2 separate regions of the Mus musculus genome follow, and region 1 is reported to be linked to region 2. The links are microRNA targets in miRTarBase. Many come from high-throughput screens and were not tested one by one. Region 2 holds a microRNA gene; the other region holds the end of a gene's coding sequence.

Region 1 (5,380 bases), not on the chromosome of region 2:
TATGTTTTCCCAAGAAAGGCATGGGTGAGCAGAACTACCCCATGAGAGAGGCTGCATGTGCAGCAGGTAGACTGTTGAGGCCCAGATGCTGGGCCAAGAGCTCCAGGTTTGGAATGCCACATTTCAGGATTTGGTATTTCCCAGCAGACTCCTGTCAGCTTTGGTCTGATTTTTTCTTTTGATGCACTCATTCTTTCCTATTTTAACCTGTGCCCTTGGAAGTTAAAAGGTTGGTTGTTGTTGGTCTCACTCACTGTGCAGCCAAGCTGGACTCATACATATTGAAAGTTTATAACTTCCTTTATATTATTTTACAGAGTTTACAGTTAAGGGGGTGCTGGAGCCTCAGTAGAGGCTTCTGAACAATGTTGGGCATTTGAGGGGCTGGTGAGAGGGCTTGGTGTATGCAGGTGCCTGCTGCTAAGCCTGACCCCAGTGAGTTTGATCCCCAACAACCACTTGGTGGGGAAAAAAAACAACTCTTACAAGCCGTACTCCAAGATCCACATATACCTCATAGCTTTACCTCCTGCCCCTACACACAAATAAAATAAAATTATTTTGAGCACATTCAGAGACAGACCAAATGCACCTTGCATTTTGAGATGGCCAAGAAGGCCTAGGGACAGGGCAGGCGACTGTGATGTAAGGGGATGTATGTGCCAGGTTGGTAAGGGATGACCAACCCTGGTCACTGTCACTTTGACTAGATATGGACTCCCTTGGAAGTCTGTGAGAGCATTTCCAGGGAGCTTTAACTGAGGACAGAAGACTCACCCTGAACAGGGGTGGCACCATGCCATGGACCAGAGATCTAGAATGGATTTTAAACAACAAAGTATCTCCCCCATGTGAGCCACAGCTATGAGCCCCTCCCCTCCCCCTACCCCGGGCTTTCACCGTGGTGGACTGGAACTGCAAACCCTAAGCCCAAAGAAACCCTTCCCTGTTTAAACTACTGAGTCAGGTGTTTGGCTCACAGCAACTAAATAACCCTGGAATAGCCAGCTGTCTGCAGTGGGTTTAGTGAGCATAGTCTGTGTGGCATGTTTTCATCCACAGTGCCTACAGGAACAGGGGTCATGCTCTGATGACCAGGGGTCACACTCTGACATTCACACAGCAGCAGAAACTGCTAACATGCTCCTCATACCCTGTGCTCTCCCCAGCCACCAACCCAGAACATAGTTCATAATTTAATCTCCTTCAGGTTGTTTCGATGAACACAAGAATTTTCTTTTGTTTTGTTTTGTTTTGAGACAGGGTCTTGCTATGTAGAACACCCTGGCCTCAAACTCAGAGATCCTCCTGCCTCTACCTCCCAAGGCTGGGACTAAATGCTTGCGTGACCATGCCCCAGACATTGGAATTTTAGGCCAGAAGCTGTGCATCAAAACTTTCCACAGTTTTGATATAATGTCCACAATTCATAGAAAAGTCTTAACAAAAATGTGGCCTTCTTTCCCCTTCAGGGGTTCTCTGCTCAAACTACAGGTCCTTCAATTAAACAGAGATGGTATGGCTGGAGACTCCTAAACTAGCAGTCACCAACACCAAAGTGGGTGGACAAAGGACTGTGGTACACTCAGTGATAGGACAGTTCACAGCCATAGAGAAGAACATGAGAGACTATCATTTGTAGCAAAACAGACAGAACTGAAGGACATCATGTTCAATGAGTAAGTTGGCTGCACAGTGACGAACCTCATTCCCTCTCATACCCTGACTTAAAAGGATATGGAATTGTGAGGACCAGCTTTGGACAGAGACAGAAGGTAGATTTAAAACAAAGACCAAGTTTGCAGCTACTTGCATGCTGAAAATATCTTGTGGGTCTTCATTAATATATTACAATTAGTACATGTTAGTAAAAAAGTATTATTTTTAAAAATCTCAAACAAATTATTGTTCAATACATGTGCATATATTTTTAAATTACAGCTTAAAATAGATCTTTAATTTTATTGTTATTATATTATTACTACTATTGGTATGCATATGAGTGCATGGTGGGGGTGTCATCACCATGGTGCTTACCTTAGTGAATGTGTGGAGTCAGAGAGCAACTCTGAAGTCGGCTCTCTACTTCCACTCTCTGAGTGCCAGGGATTGAACTCAGCCCATCGGGACTGAGTAGCAAGTGCTGTTACCAACTGAGTCAGCTCATTGGCCCATAATTTTTAAAAATATTGATCTTAATTCTGTGTGTGTGTGTGTGTGTGTGTGTGTGTATGTTTGGGCAGGTATCTCCAAAGGCCAAAAGGCCTTTTGTGTGCCATCTGATGTGGGGGCTAAGATGGATCAAACTGCTGAGCCATCTCTCCAGACCTTTGTTGTTGTTGCTGCTGCTGCTGCTGCTGTTGGAGACAGGAATTCTCTGTATAGCCCTGGCTGTCCTGAACTCACTTTGTAGACCAGGCTGGCCTTGATCTCAGAAATCTGCCTGCCTCTGCTTCTGCCACTGCCACTGCCACTGCCACTGCCACTGCCACTGCCTCTCAAGTGCTATGATTAAAGGTGCACACAACCTCTGTTTGCCATAACCAGTAATTTTTTTAAAAAAATAAAATTTGACACTAACATTTTCAGAATTGCTAAAGCATGCATTGGAATCCTTATTTGGGAAGTAACTGAACAAGGTATCTTCAAAGGCCTCATTTTGAAGCTGGAATGTGACTGAGCAGTAAAGCCCCTTCCTGGATTCCCCCAGTAAGGGCTCAGGGTATGGCTTGAGATATAGCACTTGCCTTCAAGTCCTGGTTCTGTATCCAACACAGAAAAACAAGCTGTTTCTACTGCTGCTTTCACTGAGTCTGTCTAGTGTCCCATGGCGTGAAGGGGGCCTCTCACCTCTAAGGTCTGGCTGTAGCAAGGCTCCAGGCACAAGACCGGCTCACTAGATGGCTGTGAGCACTGTGGAGAAAGCCATTTCAAGGCAGAAGGTCTGGCAGCAAAGCAGGTAGATGCTAGCATGTCCTGATGTGTCAGGGAACTGAGTGAGACAGCATCTTAGCTGGGCACAGTGGTTATAGTTGTCCAAGCAGGAAATGGAGGCAGGAGGATAAGACTGTGCCAGCACTTTTGGCTACACATGGAGGCTGGTGTGGGCATCATGAGTGTTCATGTGTGCCTGAGCACCCATGTGGGTACATGTGATGTGTATCTGAAGGCATGAGGTTGAGTCAGGAATAATCATTGACTTCTCTTCTACCTTATTCATTGTGGCAGGGTCTCTTAATCAAACCCAGAGCTCACAGATGTGTCTAGCTAGCTAGCCAGAATGCTCAGGATCCTCTATGACCTTATTAGCTTTAACTGTCAACTTCACATAGCCTAGAGTCACCTGAGAAGCAAGTCTTAATTGAAGGGTTGCCCAGGTCAGACTGGTGTGTGGGCCTGTCCATGGGGCATTGTCTTGACTGCTAGCTGATGGAGGAGGGAGCCCACTGTGAGTGGTAAGTGGTTCTGGGGCTTATGAAAAAGCTTAGCTAATCAGGAGAACGGCAGAAACTACATCCTCTGTGGTTCAGGCTTGTGTCTTGAGTGAGAATGGCTCCCAGAGGCATATATATTTGAGTGTCTGGCCACCGGAGAGGGAACTGTTTAAAAGGATTCTCATGATATATCTTTCAGCTATTCCTGCAGCACCATGCCTGCCATGTGTGCCACCAGGCTCCCTGTCGTGATGACAGTGGACTAAGCCTTTGAAACTATAAACAGTTCTCCCAACCCCATTAACTGCTTTGCCATGGTCATGGTGTCTCTTGACCATCACTAATTGATAATGACGGAGACACTGCTGTATGACCGCGGCTGAGTCCCCTAGTCAGAGGTCATGCTGTGTGCAATAGCCAGCAGGCTTGCCTTCAGTTCCTGCTTGAGTTCGTTCCCTGACTTCCCTAAGTAAAGAACTGGGTGTGTGGCCTGGGGGTGAAAGCCAGATGAACCATTTCCTCCTCTAAGTTGCTTTTGGTCGAGTTTTTCAGTCACAGCAGTGGAAGAAACAAAAATAGCCTGTTCCCTGAGGCTAGGCTTACAGGTTGGTGACAGTGTGTACAATGTTCTTGTATTCTGGGATGCAAGGTGATTTAAGCCCTGAGCCAGCACCAGTCTTTTCTCTCTACATAGCTCTGGCTGTCCTGAAACTTACTATGTAACCTAAGGCTGGCCTCAAACTCACAGGAATCCTCCTGCCTCTGCCTCCTGAGTGCTGGGATTGAAAGCTATGCCACCACCAGATCCTAGGAGGATTTTTTTTACACACCATTTTGAGTCTCACAGCAGGAGCTGCAGACAGACTAACTATGCTGTGTGTTTAACTATGCTCTGTGTGGCTTTGCAGTATGGATTATGGGCTATTACTGGAGGCTCACTGCTATGAAGACAGGACAGCACCCATCACATCCCAGCAGTCTTTCACTCTCCATCACACAACACTTTGACAAGGTCACTCTTGGTCCCTACAATGATTTCAGATCCTCTCACAGCTAGTAACTGGCTCAGGGATAAGAATTGCACCAGTACAACTAAGAGGCAGAGCCAAGCCTTTGAGCCAAGTTCTTAGAGTAAGGTGGGAGATGCAGGCTGCTGCTCACTTGAAGGAAGTAGGCCTTCAGAACCCACAGAAAAAGCTATGAGGAAAAATGGAAGATGGTTGAGGGGAAGGGGGGGTCCACATGGCACCAGCAGAGAGAGTCAGTTGGCTTCAACCAGGTGAGCCATGGCTAAGTCACTGAAGCCCCTGCCTTGGTAGGCTTTCAGAGTATGAGGCAGACCTGTGAGCGTTTATTTGACTTTGATTCCTTTCCCTCTACGGCCACTGGTTCTGCATCCTGGGAGGCTTCTGCTGCAGCCAGCTCTTCCCTCTGCCTGGTCTTTACCAGCCACACTGCCTTCTTGAAGTTCTTGAGAGGGTCTTGCTGGGAGGCTCTGACTGACGGGCACTGGAAGCGCTCACGGATGAGATAGCCGTGGCTTGTGGGGGCCATGAAGCCATTGGAGGTAGGGATGATTCGGTTGATCACAGCATGAACAAACTGGACAGCCAAAAGAGTGCCTGTGACCAGGAAAGGGCAAGCCATGAGAAAATGGGGCCCAGAGATGGAAGGACATTGCAGCTGGTAATGTGCTTGGCCTGCAAACACAGGGCCTGAATTCAATCCCTTAACACGCATGCATGTGGAGGTGCACACTGGCAGTCCCAGCGCTCTGGAGGCAGACATGGATGCTCCCTGGGGCTCCCTGTTTGACCTAATCATTGGGCTCAAAGTCCATCATCTCCAGTACATGATTACCATCCATAGAATATGGGTATACACCCACCCTCATGGAGACCCAGGGAAGAAGGCTGTTCTGTCTCCAAAGGGGTCTACAGACCATG
Region 2 (5,380 bases):
GTGCTTCTACACAGGATTCATTTTTTTTTTCCAAATAAAATGAAAGAATTCAATCAAAGCATCAGATCTTAGATGTTAGCTATATCTATCGAGAGAGTGGATAGGACAACCTTGGCCCTAACGTAACAGAACAAGATCAGGGTCAAAAACATGAAGCAAAGGAAGATCTGTTCTTTTAAGATAGCCAACCTCTCTCTCTCTCTCAAACTGCTATGAATAAGTACACCTTAAAAGACAGCATCTCAAGAGTGGTCCTCAAGGTACTGCCCAGTCCCTTCTTTGAGGAAGACACAGTCAATACAGCATGCTGCTAAAGATGCAGAGACTTTCCATGAGGCTGCAAAAGGTGAAATCACATAATTGGGAAATGGAAATTCTCGTTAGCATCTAGAAGATGACCTGTATCAATAATCATTTCCTAATACAATCTAATGTCTGAGAACTTTAAAAATCTGAGAGTAGAAAGGAAGATTCTCCAGCATGCATCATATTCCACATAGCACCAAGGCCATGGAATGGACAAATGGTACTTTGGGGGTTCAATCCCAAAGCTCTTTAGGGAACAGACAGATTGCCCAAATCCATGCAGTAGTTAAGAGTTCAATCAGCAGGGAATACTGGAGTCTGTGATGAAAGACAGGCCACATTTTGTCAGAATGCACATAGATTCTATTTCTGCTAAAACCCAGTGCTGTCCAGAAGGAAAAACCCCACATTTTGTGTTTAGCCAAAGGCTGGCTAGTAGTGACATTATCAATACGGAATTAGCTAAATTGGATTTTCAATGGTAATCCTCTTACTTCGCTCCTCCTGTAACTTTGTAGCCCCTAGACAGCAGAAAGGAATGTCTTCCTTTCCACCAGCCTCTTTTTCTATGTTCCTCGTTTCAATAATTGGGACCTATCTACTCAGCTCAAGCAGACTTTCTCACTTCCATTCATTTTTTTGCCTTTACTCTTGTTTTGTTTTGTTTTTTCCTGACTTTTCCTTATATAGGGAGTGACAATGCCAAGCTTTCCCTGATGAACAAGTATAAAGACAATATCATAGCCACAAGCCCCGTGGATTCTAACCACCAGCAAGCCACTCTGCTCTCCCACACCTCCAGCAGCCAGAGAAAGAGGATCAACAATAAAGCCAGAGGTACTCATGTCTAGTTCTACGTTATTCAGATGAGTTCCAGAATGTGGGCAGAGGTGGTGGGCCCATTAATCCAACTACATGCACTGTGATACATAGCTACAAATGTATATGTCTGGTACAACCTTCAGGAGGCCAGATAGATGCTACTCACCCCAAAATTTAAGATTAGAAACCTCTTGATTACATACTGTCATGGACATGAGTATTTTCTAGGAACAAATTGAACAACTGTGCAAAGATGTTTGTAAATGGCTGCTTATCACATTTAAACAAGCTAAAAATCAGAAATGGTATAGACGCCCATCAATAGGGAATTGGTAGACTATCTGGCACATCTGCCTAATGTCCAGTGATTTACCCTGCAGTCATTTAAAATGATCATATAGATCTTTATTTGTTAATATGGAAAGTTGCCCACCTATTCAATGAGGAAAATGTGATTATAATCAGGGTATGGCTCAATTCCATTTTAAAGGGAGATTGAAACCCCTTTACCTGTTTCAGTATCAGAAAAGGACAGAGGGTATATCCATCAAGCAATAGAAAAAATTGCCCCTGTTTTAGAGGGCTTGCAGGACATGTTCCCTGCACATACGCCTATCTCTCTTTTTATCCTTTTTGTATATATTCTTGAATCAGGAAAAACTCAGAAGTATAATGTCTTTTCTGCTCTGATGCAATTCTGGTCTTCTATCAAGCAGGATGGAACATTTTCCTTTCTTTTTCCTCTACCCCCTCCCTTCTCTGGAAGTCCTCTCTGACGAGTAGATGCCCGACAAGTCCCTAATCACAGAACCATGTTCTCTGCAGGGATCAGAGCACTATCTGTTGCTCTCCTAAGTGCCTGCTTCTTCACAAGCCTGGGTATCAAGAAGTCCCAGCCCCTCTGCTACCTCTCCGAGACTGTGTGTCAGCCACTCTTATTTTTATTAACTTCCCAATTAGACCTCATCCTGTGATTCTGCAATCATGCAAAATGAAAATATCTGCTCTGATTCTCAATTCATTTCAGCTGGTTCTGCCTTCTTGAACCCTGAAGGGGACTCCAGCACAGAGGCCGAAAATGACCCACAGCTGACCTTCTACACAGACCCCTCTCGGAGCCGGAGGCGCAGTCGAGGTACGGATGGTGGGAAGGTGTGTAAGTAGGGTGTAGGTGGGAAAAGCAGGGGCCACAGAGCGCTCCCTCACTCTGTGGACTGGAGCCAACTTCAGCAGGAAGAATGCCTGGATCCCAGCTGGAGCTTCCTCCAGGGAGGAATGGAGAGCCTAGAGTTCGGGTGAGAGTGAGAATCCTCTCTCCCAGATAATAGCACTCTCAAACAAGTTTCCATGTTGTTTGAAAGGCTGTTTCTTGGTCAGAAGACTCTCAATTTCTTCTGGAAGACTCAGCAGTCATGTTTTACTATTCAGACAAACAAAGTGGATGGGGTTTAATAAATGAATAATACACGTACTTGTCATCAGTTCAACTGCATTGGCCTTGAGATTGAGCTAGACTGGGGTAGGAGGGCATGGTCAGTAAGGAATTATCTAGGAGTTGAGAATAACTTGGCCTTTGAGGTTTTACACAGTAGAATCTTGAGACCCACGCCTCCAAACCCTTCACTTCTCCTGGCACAGTTTAAGCTAATTTATTATTCACATCTACACTTCTGTATGTATGGCTGCAGGGTCATCCTAGGTGAAGTCCCGGACTTCAGCTGTGACTCCTGCTACTACTGTAGGAGATACTATGACCTTCCTGGTGTTGCCATTACCTCTGACAGTGTTCTATAGACAAACAGCAGTGAGTTTCAGGATCTCCTTCCTGTGTGGCGTGGCATAAGGATGCAGACCCTCTGAGCATCCATTCTCACATATTGAATGACTTCCAAATAACACATACAGAAGGCTTCTGTGAGAATTACATCCTTTCTTTATTTTGGCAACTGCTAAAGTACTATGAAATCCTCATTGCTACTGCTGGATCTTCCCAGTAGTAGTCTATAGTTTTTACCGAGCCCCGTGTTGAAATATACTAAACAGACTCTCCTCAAGACATTGGTGGAGGATATATGAATGGCATCAACTGTGTCATCTTTGCGTGGCTATAATGCAGTGGCCTTGCCAAACAATGCCTAACCAGTGGCTTTCAGAACTCACACATACTGGCTGAGTCCTACCTCCACTCAAATTCTCTTCATACAGAATTTATTCTTCCCAGGAACTCCAAGAAGGAAGATACTTTCCTTCTGTGTTCCAGTGTCTGTAAGCTCCTCAGTCTGTAGCATTTGAGTTTTTCTTGTCACCTCTTTTCCTGAGGAGCCAGCGGGGCTCTTAATTGACTAACTGTAGAGTCTCATTTTTCCTGACATTAGAATATGGATAACAGTACCTTCCTCTCCCTAGATGCTCAAAATCATTTATAGAACAAATACACAATCTAGGCTGTATCAAAGCAGGTTGTGTCTTGTTTTAATAAAGTCTTATTTGAGAAAACCCCTGGTGGTGGGTTAGAGTTAGTTACTTTACAGCATAACATGATTTGTTTTCCTAACTTCCAAGTCCCTGTAATGCATCAACTGTCTACTGCTATTAACTAAACTGTAAGTGGCTTAGGGGTGGAGCGTTCCTATAATTATTTTTTCAAAGTGCCTACTAAAGGAGTTTGCCTATAATATATGTGTGTGAGTGTCTGCTTAATTGGACTGGATACATCAATCAGACCAGCAAAAGCATCATATAACCTAGCTCCTATGGGTCAGCCTCTATGATAGGTAGTGGATACATGAAAACATGGCAGAACGATAAGGCTTTATTTAATAATGTAAATAAACAAAACAAGCACTCAGAAGCGATACACTTAATTCTACATGGCAGCAATAGGAGGCAGTAAAGAAGAGTTAGCACTGAAAAATAGGTAATGTATAGAATGTCTGGAAAAAGAATTCTTAGATGTGAACATTTCAGTAGAGGAATGAAGTACATTAAAAAAAAAAAGCTGAGGACTCTAAGCAATGTGGTTGTCAAGGAAGTGAGGGAGCCTGTAGCTCTAGCCAGGATATAAACAAACATAGGGGAAGTAAGGATGAAGGCAGAGAATAAGCTAACTACCAAAGCACAAACCTGCCTGCCACGCTCTTAGAATTGCACTGGATTCTGTAAACAAATAGGAAACCACTGGACAATGTGAAGGCAGGCGAGGAGGCTAGATTGTGGGTTGACAGTGCACATAGAGGAAAGGGACAAAAATATCAGTTGCAAGTTATTGCAATCACAGGAGAGCAGTGGCAAGTGCCTGCAAACAGTGATGACATCGTGTGATAAGAGCTGTAACAGCAGGGTGCACTAAGGGCTAGAAGAACAAGGAAGAGTGAGAATCTGTTCTTGAAGGTTTCAGGGAAGTGTTTTCAGGAAGCTGTTGTTGAAGCGTAGGTGTTGACCAGGATGACAAGGTGACAAAATGGCCTTCTGTGGAGGAGGAGATAATCTGTGCAAAGTCACTGGAATGGAAGAGATGGTTTAGTGAGAAAACTGAAACATAGTTCAGTAAAGTCTAGGGTGCATGTTTGTGGATTGTTTGGGAAAGCCAGCCAAATGCTCAGCAGAATCCAGGAAGAATATAGTCGTGACTGCAAAGGTCTTGGATCTGTCTAGTTTAGCTAGTCAGTTGTGCTGTGTGGAGGCCTCTGTCTCTCCTCTGGAGGCAGTGTAGACAATAGCTGAGAACCAGTGGGTGTATCTGTGAGGGTAAGACAGGTACTGCCTGAGTCCTAATGTAAGATGAGAAAATGGAGATGTAACCTTGAACATCAACAACAAAACAAAAGACCTTCTATTTAAAGAGTTGGTGGTAAGAAAGTGTGCCTTGTGAACAAACAGGGAAAGTGTTGGATCGAATGGAGTTGTAGGAGTTGAGAAGCCATCTGATGACAGTGGAGATCAGACAGGATACTGGGTTTGAGAAACAGGACAGGTAGAGTTGGCAGTATGTAGAGCATTTAGTGCCAGAGGGAGGATGTTCTCTTGATGGATGTGATACTGTGGGTTAATCCTTAAGTGTGAGGAAATGGACTCCATGTGTAATATTCAAAATTAATCTGTAAGCATTATCTTGCCCAAGGACTAGGTAACTCCCTGGAATGCTGGGAGTTCTTAAAAAATAATAAAGCCTCTTGGGAAAGTATCACGGCCTGTAGGTATGCCTTTGTAACCCCCTGTAGTACGGGTCTCAGGGCCATTCAGCTGGAAAATT

What was found. Region 2 holds the annotated microRNA mmu-miR-488-3p (UUGAAAGGCUGUUUCUUGGUC, at 2,483-2,503, shown strand). A microRNA usually pairs through its seed, bases 2 to 8, with sites in the 3' UTR of a target mRNA and lowers its output. Matches are read on the target gene's strand: a 7mer-m8 pairs with bases 2 to 8, a 7mer-A1 pairs with bases 2 to 7 and ends in A, and an 8mer does both.
Region 1: miRTarBase lists Nwd1 as a target of mmu-miR-488-3p. Seed matches in the 3' UTR shown: 7mer-A1 at 4,217-4,223.

Annotation. Positions count from the first base shown.
Region 1 is chr8:72,711,269-72,716,648 of GRCm38, reverse strand. It overlaps Nwd1 (NACHT and WD repeat domain containing 1), which reads right to left. Exons shown (of 19, transcript NM_176940.5): 19 at 1,903-5,056. The coding sequence ends at 4,758. Among named protein-coding and RNA genes, the nearest start is that of Sin3b, 9.3 kb to the left of the region's middle.
Region 2 is chr1:158,503,207-158,508,586 of GRCm38, forward strand. Mir488 (microRNA 488) reads left to right here and starts at 2,419; the gene lies at 2,419-2,527. Astn1 (astrotactin 1) reads left to right here. Exons shown (of 23, transcript NM_007495.4): 4 at 997-1,143; 5 at 2,156-2,263. All of the region lies in intron 1 of Gm37679 (a long non-coding RNA gene), which reads right to left.